Macaca mulatta: one gene and its partner. The protein of the gene in region 1 purifies or fractionates together with the protein of each later gene. This does not show direct contact. Links are inferred from orthologs where the notes say so. Each region holds a gene or a part of one and is shown on either strand. Other genes may lie near its edges.

Evidence for each region.
Region 2: the proteins of HIP1R (region 1) and PICALM fractionate together in Homo sapiens (co-fractionation; 3 studies listed by BioGRID and IntAct, with this or other methods). This does not show direct contact. The link is inferred for Macaca mulatta from reciprocal best matches to the Homo sapiens genes HIP1R and PICALM.

What each region holds. Positions count from the first base shown.
Region 1 is NC_133416.1:130,252,080-130,258,936, reverse strand, and holds the end of HIP1R (huntingtin-interacting protein 1-related protein), read right to left. Parts: intron 6,660-6,857; coding exon 6,512-6,659; intron 6,421-6,511; coding exon 6,334-6,420; intron 5,931-6,333; coding exon 5,823-5,930; intron 5,712-5,822; coding exon 5,575-5,711; intron 5,349-5,574; coding exon 5,238-5,348; exon of another isoform or gene 5,204-5,237; intron 5,069-5,203; exon of another isoform or gene 5,003-5,068; coding exon 4,944-5,002; intron 4,728-4,943; coding exon 4,697-4,727; intron 4,621-4,696; coding exon 4,558-4,620; intron 4,345-4,557; coding exon 4,244-4,344; intron 4,089-4,243; coding exon 3,983-4,088; intron 3,852-3,982; coding exon 3,728-3,851; intron 3,636-3,727; coding exon 3,574-3,635; intron 3,459-3,573; coding exon 3,252-3,458; intron 3,035-3,251; coding exon 2,987-3,034; 3' UTR 2,863-2,986; downstream 1-2,862. UniProt on the Homo sapiens protein: Component of clathrin-coated pits and vesicles, that may link the endocytic machinery to the actin cytoskeleton. Binds 3-phosphoinositides (via ENTH domain).
Region 2 is NC_133419.1:86,664,891-86,672,693, forward strand, and holds the start of PICALM (phosphatidylinositol-binding clathrin assembly protein), read right to left. Parts: upstream 4,577-7,803; 5' UTR 4,475-4,576; coding exon 4,345-4,474; intron 1-4,344. Other genes in the region: uncharacterized protein LOC114672368, read left to right, coding at 4,678-4,974. UniProt on the Homo sapiens protein: Cytoplasmic adapter protein that plays a critical role in clathrin-mediated endocytosis which is important in processes such as internalization of cell receptors, synaptic transmission or removal of apoptotic cells.

The sequences.
Region 1 (6,857 bases):
CTTTGGGGACTTGCCAGCAGGTGTTTCAAGAAGGCAGTTGCCTCTGCCCACTTCAAAGCCCAGTGGGTGTTGCTTCCTTCTCTAGGCTGAGAGGAGGGGACCCCGCAAGCCCTGCCTCGTTGCAGAGCTACAGAATTTGTACCCTGTGCCTGCCGCCCCGGCTGAGCTGTGTGCCTGTGTCCCCACCATCCCAGCTGAGCTGTGTATCTGAGTCACAGTGCCCCTGCGAGGGACTTGAGGAACTGAGATGAGAGCAAGCTCACCTGTTGCTGTCTCCTCTAACAGCGGCCATTCCTGGCACATCATTGTCCTATGAGGATGTGAAGGAGAAATTTCTGTGGTTCTTCTGTGAGGAAGAGGGAAGCATTTCCTGAGGAGCCAGTTTGCCTTAAAGAAAAGGTGTCTGATAGTTGGTCTTCCCAGTGACTGCCAGGAAGCTTACAGCCAAATCTGCTGTCCACTTCAGTGAGGCTGCTGGACTTCACAGTCTTGCCTCTCCTCCCGCTGTGTGCGCCGTTCACGAGGAGGACCAGGGAGAGGCAGTGACAGGTCCAAGAGGGTGGAGAAGCAGGAGCAGACCCCAAGCTCCTGCTTTCTAGCTCCACACGAGGCAGCCTTTCCAATGAAAGGTTTTGGCTGGGCGCAGTGGCCTGTAATCCCAGCAGTTTGGGAGACTGAGGGGGGCAGATCACTTGAGATCAGGAGTTCGAGACCAGCCTGGCCAACATGGCAAAGCCTCATCTCTACTAAAAATACAAAAATTAGGCATGGTGGTGCACACCTGTAATCCCAGCTACTCGGGAGGCTGAGGCAGAGTTTCTTGAACCCGGGAGGAGGTTATAGTGAGCCGAGGCACACCACTGTATTGCCGCCTGGGTGACAGCAAGATTCCATCTCAAAAAGTTTGGTCATTGAGAACTCAAGAATGATCAGTCAAGTGGTGTCAGTGCCTGTGGCTTTTCACTGGTCTGTATCTGGTGGAGAATCAGTTCCATTAGTGTTTTCTGAAGCCATCTTGCCGTGTAAACAAGAGCCAGGCACGGGGGCCTGACCTTGTGGTCCGCTTGCAAGGCCTTTCACATCCATGGTCCTAGCCACCTGGCACAAGCACCCTGGCTACGCAGCCCCAGCTGAGGCCCCACTTCACCCTCCAGGAGACCGTGGACACAGGTGGGAGGCTTGTCTGAGGCCATATAGGAGCCAGCCAAGGGGCCTTTTCTCTCCCCTGACCCACCCTGTCCTGTTTCTCCATAAATGCCAGTAATCTTGGAAGGGGGTGGGACAGGGTGAGCTCACCCACCTCAGCCTTCCCTCTGGCATGTGCTCCTGGGTAAAGTGGGTGCTTGTGAGGCTGCCACACACCCAGGGACTGAATGCCCTTCCAGGTTTCCGGTAAGTGCAAAGGCTGTGTGTGGTCATGGCTCAAGTCCAAGCCAGCTGGGAGTCAGGGTCTCCACCTTAGGAACTGTCAGCCATGGTCTCACACACACTGAGGGGGTCAGCAACTGCTGGGAACCCCAGGGAAGCTGTGGGCATCAAGGCTGGGAGTGGAGGTGGCCTCTGTGGAGGCAGCTGGCTCTTGGCCTCCTGTATAAAAGAAGGGCCCCAAGGCCCATAAATCTCCCAGAATGCAAGGCAGACACGCACAGCCTGTGACAGCCCTGCTGAGCTTTTCTGCAGTCCTGAGTATTCTAGCACTAAATGCAGACACGATGGGGTCCCCGTCCCAGCGCCTGGCCAGGGCCTAGACAAGGGAACATGCGTCCCTGAAGGAATGAAGAGCCAGGCACAGCCCCTCTGGGCATCAGTGACAACAGTCAAAGTGCATTTTATTGCCAGCACAACACTTCAACAGGAGGAAATGCTCACACAAAGCCAAGGGGCTGGTTCTGGCTCATTCTTACTGCTCCTGACCTTGGCCAGTATGTGGTAGCCTTTCCAGAGCACAGGGTGAAGGGCTAAAGGGCTGGGGCCTGGGGTGGGGGTGAGGACAGGAGGACATGGCAGCTGCTGGCTCTGCCCTCCCAGCCTGGTCCCACTCCTCCTGCCACTCCCCTCAGGCTCAAGGGACACATATTCGTTCAAATATGATGGGCAAAGCCAGGGCCTAGCTCGCTCTAGCCGCAGGGTCCCCTCCCTGAGGGCCCTGGTCCAGCAGCTGGATTTCTGGGCTTTTTCTGGCTGAGCTGGAGGGCCTAGGACCAAGCCCACTCTCCGGAGGGCTGGAAACCACCCCTTCAGGTGGGCAGTGGGGCGCGGCCAGAACGGGGGAATGGAAAACAGGAAATGGGGGTGGTTGCCTATTCCAGCTGGAAATGGAAACTCCAGGCGTGAAGGCAGCGCCTGGGCCGCTGTGTCTCACCTCGCTCCCCAGAAAGCGGCCCCTTCCAGCATCTGACCCCTCCTGGGGGCTCCCATCACGGAGGCCCAAGGGCCAGGCCTGAGGAGTAACGGGCAACATTCCTCCAGCCCACCCAGAGCCTGGTCTTCGGAGGCCACGCAGCTGGAGGGCCTGGTAGAATCGGTGCCCCAGAAGGCCACAGACAGGATGCCTGACCCTCGTCCCATTAGCCAGCACGGACTGTGTGCCTTCCGTCCATCCACAACCTTCAGGAGTCCGGAAGGCAGGGAGCCCCACACTGGCCCCGTTTCCCAGTGTGCTGAATACAAACGTAGGAAGAAGAGCTCAAGCTCGGAATATTAAAAACACGCATTTCCTGAAGAGTTGACGCTCAAGCCTACTGCGTCCTGGCTGCACCCAAAAGTTCCTTCTGAGATAAATAAGAGACTCACATCCAGAAGCACCACCCACATGGCCCAGGCCCCTGCAGGTTCAGTAAGGGCCAGGGGCCTTGAGGACACTGATCAGAACGGTGGGGCGGAAGGCTTGGGCACCAGGTGGAGGGGCAAGGCCCCTCGGTCCTGTCAGGGCAGTCGCAGAGGCCCAGGCCTATCTACCAGCCGCCCTGCTGGACCCCTGGGGGGCCTAGTAGTTCACAAGTTGAGCTGGGTAGATGCCATCCTTTTTGTCAAGCTGCAGGGGTTAAAGGAGGAGGGGTCAGTGGTCACAGCCAGGCTCCTGGGGCCCCACCTCTCCCTTGAGCGAGCTGCTCCTCCCTGCATGCCGTGTCATGCCATGCCAGGGGTTTTCAGTGGTCCCTGACTTCCCCAGGGACGTGCACTACATGCCCCTCCGGGGCCGGGCACGGCACCCCCCTCCAGGAACTCCCCCATCCCAGTGCAGATGGCACCTGGTGGTCCTGTCTGGGGGCCATGCTGGGCTTCTGGGCCAGCGGTGGTTTCTTGGTGGTTACACTTCGGGGGGCAGCGCTGGGCTGGCTGGCCGCCTCCTCTCCAGGGCTGCCTGATGCCCCAGCCAGCACGTAGTGCTGCTTCCGCAACTCCCCCAGCCGCATGCGTTCAGCCTCCAGCGTCTTCTCCAGCTCCAGGACACGCACCTGTAGCCACACAGCCTGCTCAACCCAGCTCAGACTCCCCAGGGAGCCCTCTCCTGGGTCCAGGTTTCGCCTGAGGGATGAGCTCAGAGGTCATGGAGCAGCCATGGGCACCTACCTGGGTCTCCATCTCCTGCTTCTTCAGCTTGATGAGGGACAAGCCAGAGAAATCCATGGTGTCTGTGGTCGGAGGGCAAGGTGGTGAGCATCTGGGCACCCACCCCCATTCAGTCTCGGGAGCCAGCAGCCCCCACTTGGCACCTGGCACTCACCTCTGTCCTCAATCTGCTCCTGGCCTGACTTGGTGGAGGCCACGACATTGGCAGCCCTCTCATTGACTGTGCGGGAGCATTCCTGCAGGCGGCTCAGGTGGGGGCTGTGCTTATCAGCCTTCACCTAAGGGGCGAGGGGTCAGGGTGGGCCCAGGTCTCCCAGCTCAGGACAGCAGCAGGCCTGGGCTTGGCAGCCACAGCCCAGGCCAAGTTGGGCCCAGAGCCTGGTGTGCCGCTGTCAGCGTGCAAGCTCACCTTGGAGGCTGCCACCAGCTGGGCCGTGCTGGCGGCGATCTCGTGGGAGCAGACGATGAGCTCCTCATACTTGCCCATGTGAAGCACCACCTTGTCAGCCGCCTCCCTGAGGGGCAAGGGCCGGTCAGGGCCAGAGTCTCTGACCCCATGGACAGCTGGTGCCACTCCACACCCCCTCTACTCTCCGCACCCTGTTGACCCCCAAACTGTTCCAACTGGCAGGAAGCAGCCCCCCGCCCATCCCTACCCAGGGCAACCTACACCAGCTGCGTGGCTCCCCAGCCCACAGCCTTGGAGGCCGAGATGAGGCCTTCGGTCCAGCGCGAGTTCTTGGCGTAAAATTCCTGCTGCGTGGCTGCCCCCTAGTGGCGACGGGAGAACAGGGCAGGACGTGCCAGTCAAGGACACCGAAGTGGAAAGGGGTCCTCAGGGGCCCTTCTCACCTCATTCTGGCAATAGGGTGCATCCCTCAGGCCTCCCTGTGGTAGGGGGTGGGGGGGCCTCATGCCCAGGGTGGCCTGGGCTGGGGGTCAGGTTCCTTGCGGACTGTGCCCTGCTGCCAGCTGGCCCCTCACCCTGCCGCTCTCCACGATCTCCTTCTGTAGGCTAGTGGATGTCATCACCAGGAGCCGGATGGCCTGCCAAGACCAAGACAGCAATGACTGGTGGTCCTCCAGGTGCAGAACCCCCCACCCAGGGTCACAGCCCCCTCACCTTCATCAGGTCTGTGCAGGAGTTGAGGATCCTGGGGGAGAGAAGGGGAGACTTGGCTGCTGCTCTGCAGGGCGGCCCACATGACACCATGGTGGGCCTGGCCACAGCAGGGCTCAGCAGGTAGGGAGGGAGTGTCTGCTCTGAGCCAGGCCTTCCTTTCCCATGAGCAAAACAGTTAGGGGCAGAACCTCAGGGGCCATGGGGAGCCCCCCTCAGGTTGGGCCTGGGGGACAGAAGGGGGGCTCACCTCTCGTTCACCTCCAGCTTCACCCCCGAGCTGGCGTGTCGTGCCTGGTTCATCATGTCCTGCACCCAAGAACAGAGCGGTGAGCTGGCTGGGAGGAGGGGACTGTGGTCCTGGGAAAGCCAGGGCTGCCTCCTGCCCTCTCAGCTCTGACCTCACAGGCCCCTGGAAAACACCATCTGTGCCCTGCCTGGAGGCTGAGAGCAGGAGTGGGTGCAGCCTGTACGCAGCCAAGTTGGGGCCTTCGGCCCCCAAAGCTCCACAGGAATGAGGGGAGTCCCCAGATCCCGTGCTCACTTCGATCCTCCGCACGGCATCTTCAATGGCTGCAGACGTGGTCGCCATCTCCTTGTCAACCATGGCCCCCAGCTCCTCCTGCCGCACATCTAGGCTCTTGGGTGTCAGTTCCTGGTGAGGATGGGAGTCAGACAGGGGTAGCCTCCATCCCCGCAAGCCCACGGGCAGCCTGGGAAAGAGGTGGGGGCCACAGGGACCAAGGAGGGTGCATGGTTCCCACCCTGTGTCCTGAGGCTGCAGGCTCCACACACAAACACCTGTTCAGCCAACCCAGAGGCGGGTGCAGAGGTCAGAGGCAGGCCCAAGTCCCCCAAACCCACACTCAGCGGCGCCTCACCTGGCCCAGCTGAAGGATGCCCTGCAGGGGTGTCCGCAGCAGGCTGGCCTGCACGTGCCGCAGAGCCTGCCGGTCCTGCAGCTGCCCCATGAGCTCCAGAGCGCGGGCCCCACACTCCCTGCAGGTGTCTATCAGGCCTGGGGTGAGAAAGGACCGTAAGTGGAACAGCCCCCACAGGCCCCATAAAGACTCCCAGGGCAGACAAGCTAGTGAGACAGACAGAACCTGCTATCCCGGGACCCACTTACGGTCGGCAGGGTCGGTGGGGGCCAGGTGGGAGGTGGCACCTCCATTGACAATGGTGTCCGCAGCCAGGTGGGAGAAGCGGGTCAGGGCTGCCACCAGGGTGGAGGCGTCTGTGCGGGTGGGTGGGGCCAAGGTTGGGGGAGGATGACACTGAGACACGAGCACTGGGACCACTGTCGGCGGTCCCAGGAGGAGGAGGAGGAAGAGGAAAGGAGGGCTCGGCAAGACCGACATCCAGCAGGCAGTGGGAACCACACCGCAGTGTGTGTGGCTCCGGGCCCTTCAGTGCCCTGCCACCTGCATGCAGACGCACGGTGGCCCAGGCCCCAGAGACAAAAGCCTATTTGTCCACAGGGCAGGGCTGGGTTCCTGGGAAGGAGCAGGCAGGGGGCATCTGCTTAGCTTCCCAGAGAAGTCCCTGCTGTCTGTAAACCTCCCAAAAGGCAAGAGGTGGCCATGGGCGCTGGAACTGGGACACAGCCCCCGCCTCCGCCCTGCTCGGGCCACACTCACCTGCCAAGGAGGTCAGGTACTGGGCGTGGCCCTCCTCCAGGGCGCTCACGGCATCCAAAGCCTCCTGGGCCCTGCTCACCAGGTAGTCTGCAAGCACAAGGAGAACTGAGGCCCCTGCCACCCGCTGCTCGGGGCTGGGGGATGGGAAGGAGCGGCTGAGTGTGGCCCCACCATCTACCTGGGGAGCTGGTACAGCGCAGGTGCAGGGGGTCGTCCAGCTTGCTCACAGCATCCTGCAGGATGCCTGCGGCCTCGGCAGCAGCGCCCTGCAGCACTGCAAACTGCTCATCCAGCAGCCGCTGCCGCAGACCCTGCTCCTGAGACTCCTGGCAATGGGGGCAAAGAGGGCAGCTTAGAGACCCTCCCTAAGGCCAAGGATGTGCCCCAGCCCTGGACTGACCCATGAGCTGCCAGTTGGAGCCCAGCTGAGACCCTCACTGGTCAGGGAGGTGGATATTTCTAGAAAGAGGCTTCCCAGGGTGCACAACTCAATAATAAAAAGATAACCCAATTAAAACATGGGC
Region 2 (7,803 bases), on another chromosome or scaffold:
TGTCCCTGTAAATTAACTGGGAAAAATATGAATTAAAAAACAGAGACATACAAGATATGGTGACTCACACCTATAATCCTGGCACTTTAGGAGGCTCAGCTGGTAGAGAGGATCCTTGAGCCCCGGAGTTTGAGACCTGTCTGAGCAACATAAGGAGACCCTGTCTATACAAAAATTAAAAATTAGCTGTGCGTGGTAGCAGGTGCCTATGGTCCCGGCTACTCAGGAAGATTGTCTGAACCCGGATGTCAAGGCTGCAGTGAGATGTGACTGCACCACTGCACTCCAGCCTGGGCAACAGGGTGTGACCCACCTCATTAAAAAAAAAAAAAAAAAAAAAAAAAGGAGACATTACAGCCTTTAGTACAAATATTACATTTCAGTGAAATATGTCAAAATATAAACATCCAAGGATAGTAAATAAGAATAAAGAAAATTAAGAATTCGTATCATAAAATAGGATAAGGGACAGGCATGCTGGCTCACACCCGTAATCCCAGCACTCTGGGAGGCTGAGGCAGGAGGATTACTTGAGCCCAGGAGTTCAAGACCAGCCTGGGCCACATAGGGAGACCCTCATCTCTCCAAAAATAAAAAGTTTCTTTAACCAGGCGTAGTGGCACATGCCTGTAGTCCCAGCTACTTGGGAGACTGAGGTGGGAGGATCTCTTGAGCCTGAGAAGGATGAGGCTGCAGTGAGCTGTGATGCTGCCACTGCATACCAGTGACAGAGCAAGACTCTATATATTAAAAAAAAGGGTGGGTTAAGACTAAAGATTGTAAGATCAGATAAAAATGATTTATATATTAAGAAGTTATAAATTAAAAATTGTGGGCCAGGCACGGTGGCTCACATCTGTAATCCCAGCCCTTTGGGAGGCAGAGGCGGGAGGATCACGTGGTCAAGAGACCCAGACCATCCTGGCCAACATGGTGAAACCCTGTCTCTACTAAAAATACAAAAATTAGCTGGGTGTGGTGGCGTGCGCCTGTAGTCCCAGCTACTCAAGAGGCTGAGGCAGGAGAATTGCATGGACCTGGGAGGCGGAGGCTGCAGTGAGTCAAGATTGCACCACTGCACCCGAGCCTGGGGACAGAGAGAGACTCCAAGACTCCGTCTCAAAAAAAAAAAAAAAAAAAGAAAGAAAGAAAGAAAGAAAATGTTTTTTTTCTCTCCTGCAATAATTATGGTTCTTTTAAGCATTCTATACTGCTAAACAGAATTAGAGGCTACTTTCTATATATATGAATTGCCCCCACCTGCAGCTGTGAGACAGGATTAAATGAGATGATGAGAAAGTGCCTGGAAAACTGAAGTCCTTCAAATATAAGGACTGCTATGCCTCTACCTTGATTATGGCTACTAAAAGCCTAAAATTAAATGGAAATCGTGTTTATTTTTACCGACATATTCCAAGTTCGACAACGCTTTCACACTAGGGATGCTAGTCAACGTTATTATCCACTAACACCTACAGTATAAGCAAAGCAAAAAGATCTTTCTTCAATAAATATATAATGTAGTATAAATTAAGCTATAATTCATGGATTATTAATAATCACTTCCTAATATGGAAAGATCTTGGCGAGAAACTGCACAGAAACCACCTCCACACTCTAAGAGCTCATAGGAAAACCAACAGGCCTAAGCATATTTTTTGTTAAATGCTGCCATTTTAAAATGAAATCATTTTCATTAGATTCATATAAATAAGCATCAGTTGCTAGAGGCATTAAAAGGTGCACATAAACTAAGCTTTCACTATAAAGAAAAACTTCTAAAAGACGAAAAAGTACTTGAAATGACAGGTTTCTGTATTAAAGCCTAAAGTTCATGATGTCAACACCATGAACTGTCCGTAGAAGACTCTTAAATTTTCTCAAAGCATGTTAGTGTGTGCAAGGAAGGTATTTGTTTAGTAAACCACTCACTGGTCAGACTTTACCTAAGATAAAGGTATTTCATTAGTGAGAACTGATTACAGGACATTTTAAACAACAATGTAGGGAAAATAGTATTCCAGTATTTTAAAACCTCATTGAAAAGAAATAGAAGTACACTATCTACACATATATTTTTAAATCAAATACTACCAGGTATACTCAAGTTCCAAAAAGGTGAGAGCTTGTAAAAACAGAAGTGGAAGAGAAAAAGAACGACAAATGCAAGATTATCCTCCAAACCTAATCCCAGTTAGCATCTGCAGTACAGGTTAAAAAAAGAGAAATAGCTAATAACATTTATGAAACCACATGCAAATAGCACTCTTCCAACCCCACCTATTTTCTCCTCTTTTTGGCAATGCGTTAAAAGAACCACTGGTACATTTGAAACAAGACACAAACCCTTATAAAAAACTTTTAAAAGACTTATAGATTATTATTTTGAATGAGGAAAGAGGAAAATAGTTCACACAGTCACAAGTAGTTTCTTCATACTCCCATACCAAAAACAAAACAAAACAAAACAAAACAAAACAAAAAAAACAACTAACAGAAGAATTAACACAGTGTCAGGGCAAACTGTAAGATTTGGTAGGGCAAACCAAGTAGTCACTTGAAGAGCCTAAATAGTAGAAACGTCTACTACACATATCAGATAATCAAAAAATCACATATGGCTTTACGATGCATTTTAAAAAGTTTTCTGTTTATAAGTGTCACCATTTAAATATATTCTCCATTCTCTAAGACAAACAAGGACTGAGAGTTTAAAAGCAGCTTGAACGCATATCTGAAAGAACCAAGCACTAATGCTTTTTATTTAAAACTTTTTCCACAGTGGAGGAACAATCACAACGAATAATGGGCTTCTGTGTAGCAAAAACTTGTTCTAACAGTATTCATGAGCACAGTAACTTGGAAGAATTTACATTTCGTACATTTTTTTTTAAAGTGCAAACTTTACGGCCAAAGTCCAAATGAGAAATCAAAACAGGCTTCCAGACAGTGAATTATCTTTCAGGGCATGCTCACTCTTGCTTCAAACAGTAAAGCAAAGTAACTTTCATGTATGATGAAAGCCAGTCAGACTAATGTGTTCAGTCATTTAAAAAGGGAACTTATTTATCGTGACTATTTCCCTATTTTTCCCTGAAAAGTTTCAGGTCTAAGCTCCATTGGCTTGAGTGATCCAATGAGCTTTGTACCCTGAGGTAAAAGAGCGCAAAGAAAAAGGAGGATATTACAGGTGACTTCCAGGTTAGAAAAAAGTTCCGAGGAGTCAGCTCCTACGTTAGCGAATGGACGAATACTGTGTCGTGTAAGAGAAGCTGGTTCCTCAAAAGGTAACTGGCATAATTAAAACGTATCCAAACTCAAGCACCATCAAACATCATCTTGCCAATGTTTTTTAAGGGATGTATGTTATTTGTAAGTAAATTTATCAATCCATTTGGAATTCCAACAGTCTACGCTTAACACTCAAGCTTCTGAATTCAAGCCGCCAGAGTTAACAGTTCCGGGAACTGATAAGAGTATCAGCAAAAAGCCTTTTTCCAGCTCCCCATTTGAAAAGGTGGGGAGCAGAGTTGACAGTCACAAACTCACCCCAGTCAAAAGTACGGACAACACAATGATTAAATTCCACCAGAGGCAAATAAAAATCCCAACTTTCCAGAAAGCTTTCCCTACACCAAATTGAATCCTTTTACTTTCAATCTCACAAAGAAGGTAATCTGAAATAAAAGTCGGGTAAGTGGGTATGGTATTTAAAATAAAATGAGTCAAAAAAAACTACACTGAAGCTACTAAAGAGGCGATGAAAGGTAACCCAAACGCGGGAGGGAAGGTAGACGAGAAAGCCAGGAACGGATGGGAGAAGCAGCTAGTGGAGCAAAGGAAGTGGGGGATCACTTCAAGGGAGGCAGCCCGGAGGGATAACAGGGATTTGGGTGCAAGGAACCAGGCGTTTGCGGAAACCCGAAGAAGGCTGATGAAGAAACAATGGGGCTGGGCAGACGCTCAGGCGAGGGCGACAAGGCGGCACCGGACGGGTGGGAAGGGAGAGCAGAAGGCTGCAGTGGAGACGGGTAGGGGGTGCGAAGCCAGGTGGGGAGGCAAGTTGGTTGGGTATGATGGGGTGTGGTAGCGCACCGGACAGGAGGCGAGGGTCCCCTAGGAATAGGGAGGGGACTGGCTTGTCAGATTTTGAGATGGGGAGCGGAGGCCGTGAAGGCAGGTGTGATGGAAGCAAAAGAACACAGCCCAACGGGCACAGGACCCGCCGTGCCAGAGAAGACGCAGGGAGGGAAGAGGCAGCAGACGGGGGAAAGAAAAGAGAGGGAGAGAAGGACGCGGGTCGCGCGGGCGCCTGGGAGGGGGGCCGCGGTCGGTTTCACTCACAGTCCAGGTGCTTTTTCTTGGGCCCCATGATCTCGTGGGTCGTGGCCTTGCATACTGTCTTGGATACGGCAGAGCCCGTGACACTGTGCTGGGCGGCAGTGATTCGGTCCGTCAGGCTCTGGCCGGACATCTCTGCAGTTCCTCCACCACCCCACCCGCTCAGCAGCCGGCGGGGACTGGGACCCCCAAGAGCCGGAGGGTCCCCACCCCCCACCGCACCCCCTACCCCCACCGGCTCCTTCCCCGCCTGCCGGCCTGGGGCGCGGTTCGGGGCCGCGCGCTGCCACCCAGTCCAGAGAGAACCGGCTTGTATCACCCGCGGAGTCGGACAAGATGTCGGGCACTCCCTTGCCCCCGCCTCAGTTCAGCCCACCCCTTCCCTGGTCAGCTGGAGCCGGGCAGGGTAAGAGGGACAGGCAGCTGCAGGAAAATGGCGGCGCCAGGCTCCTCCTCGGAGCTTTCCGGGCTGCCCCCGGGTCACGTGACTCGGACACCGCCCCTCCTCCCTTCTCCCGCCCCTTTCCCCTTCCCTTTCCTCTTCGACGCCCGCCCTCCCTCGCTCAACGAGGGAAGAGCGGGGCGGCGCCCGCGCGTTACGTGATGGAACTCGCCAGGCAGGCGCAACAGGAGGTCCGCCCGAGGGGAGTGCGCAGCTGGCGCGTCACGTGACTCTCCCTGCCAACAGGTCGCCTGAGGCTCGGCCCGCGGGGTCACAGACGGGGGGCGGGGCGGGAGAGGAATGGCGAGGGTGGCGTGCTGGGGGCGGGGCGGCAGGCTTCTCCACTTACCCCCAACTCAAGTGTGTCCTCGTGTCTGTGGTTGAAACCAACAGCCTGACAAAGGAGGTGCCGCTGCCGTCACAGCTTCCCCTGAAGTCGGGGGTATTAGGCCTCTGGCTCCCCGAGCTTTCCTAGCAGAGTCAAGAAATGTATTTCGAGACGCCTCCCAAAGCCGCCCTCCTGGCTTAAAGGAGAAGGTTCCAGGCGGCCTATTTTCTGAACCTGCCAGCAGGCCTCTCTCTACCGTGGAACTATTGAAGCTCTCCTTATTTACTTACCCCAGAAAGGTTTTTTTTACCCCCTTTCCTTGGGAGGCTTGGAAATGTCACCTGGTTTTGTTTATCTCTACTCCGAAAACCCGACACGTTGCTGCCATTCTAAATTTAGATACTAGCTGGCCCGTATTCATTCTCTAGGGTGTGGAATAGGACAGGAAACACATAGCTTCACTGGAATTTGAAAAGGGAAGTGGTAGGATGATGTCAACAGCGATTAGCTTGACCCTACATGGCTGACTGCTGTGGTGATTAAAGGTCCAGACCATAGAAGGAAGTGAGAGGGGCGGTAAATGGAGAAGTCCTATTCAAATAGTCCAGACATCGCTGCCTGCCATCTCTCTTGGTTTAGTCTTTCTTTCCTTGGCCTCTTTTCTCTTATTGGGTGAGCCAGATTTCCATGGAAAGACGTTGACACTGCCCTGTGGACATTTTAAAAGAAGTATTATATCCTGAAATACTATTGAATGAGACCCAGACCATACATAACAAAGCCTTTTATATGTTATTAGAGCCTCTACATTTAACCCAGGGTTAGGGATAAGTTGAAAAATCTCTTGAGTGTTAAGTTACCATGATAGTCACATGTAATCTTGCTAGTTTCAAATGAAATGCTAACATTCTCAGAAAGTCTGTGTACACCATCTGCCAGCCAAATCCAAAATACTGTGCTTCAATCTGGTGACTCTCAAAGGATGCAAAGCTGATAGATATTTAACATTTTATGTATCATATCAGGAATTTTGTGGTCTCCCATTTCATATTCCCCACACCCCCTCACCCCCCTTTTTTCCCCACTATGGCTGGTGAAATTCTGCAGCAACATCCTCTTGCCAAGAACACACAGTTCTTAATCCCAGCGGGCTTCATCTTTGTCAAGCCAGCCTCCAATTTCACAAAACTATAATGACTTCCTTCACTGTACTGCAATCCATCTGTGGTTTGGTGCCCAGTTTGCTGCCCCATCTCCATTGGGCAGTGGAATTACCAAATTTTCAAGACATGTTATCAGCCATCATTGCTACTGGTCTATGGGTTCCACTGTATAAGTTACTGGTTGGCTTGAGCCTCTGCATTGGTAAACCCCAAACTGAGGTCAACACTAACATGGTCTAGCTATCAACAGGTGAATATTTTATCCTTAGGGAAAATGTCAGTCATTCCTAAGTACATAACAGGAAAGTATTACACTGCTACTTTTACCAAAGAGGTTCTTTCAGACCACTTTTATGACAAAAATTGTTGACATGTTTACCCTATTAACAGGCTGCTGTTAGAAATATCATTTTATTTTTTCCAAGTATACATGGTAGAAGTTTCTAACTATGTAAATAATCAGTAATCATTGAAGAAGATTATGTGTAGTTGTGAACTGAAATCTATGGAGAAATTTAGAAGAAGATGGGGAATTGTTCTAAGGATAGACACTACTGACCTATTTTGTCTTACATGTTTAAGTGTCCTCTATGTCAGTTTCCTTGGTCTCTTCAGGAAATATCTCTACCTGAAGTTCCACAGATGCCAACTCACCATGGCCAAAACTGAACTTCTCTTGCCCTTGCCCAGCATCCTACATCTTTAATCCACACTGTTCCCTGTATCTGTTAATGGCCTCACCACATGCCCAGAAGCTCCCCTCAGAAAGCTGTGATTCAGAGTTCTCCTTCTGTTTTATTTCCCTCATCAAGCCTAACCTACTCTCAAACACATCCCATCTCTAACACCACTTCTGTTGCCTTAGTTCCAGCCTTTATGATCTCTGTTGTACTAGACTATTTTAGTAACTTCTTAGCTGATTCCGTGTCTTTTATACCCTGACTCTCCAATTCAGATATTTCTGAAACTAAAATGTGATTGTCTTTTCTTTGCTTTAAAATCTTCCATTAGCTCCCCCATCGCTACCCTAAAGGATGAAATTAAGGACTCTCAACATGGCATACATGGTTCTTCATGATCTGGCCCCGTTTTAGAAGTTTCTAAGTATGTAAATAATCAGTGACTGTTGTAGAGGTTTATGTGTAATTGTGAAATGAAATATATGGAGCAATTTAGAAGAAGATGGGGAATTAGAGCTAAGAATAGGCATTACTGACCTACTTTATCTTATATACTTAAGTTTTCTCTGTGTCAGTTTCCTCGGTCTATTCAAGAAATATCTTACCTGAAGTTCCACATATGCCAACTCATATGGCCACCTAAACCTGTTGAGCCTTGTCTCTTCCCATTCCTCTAAATTCCCCTACCTACCTGCTACTTGTTAAGCCTCATCTCTTCTGATTCCTTTAAATGCACTCCAGCCAATATCACACTACTTGACATACTTGGATGTCATGCTATTTCACATCCCAATAAGCAGTTACTGGTTTCCTTTTGTTACTCATATCTTATATATCCTTCTGTTATCT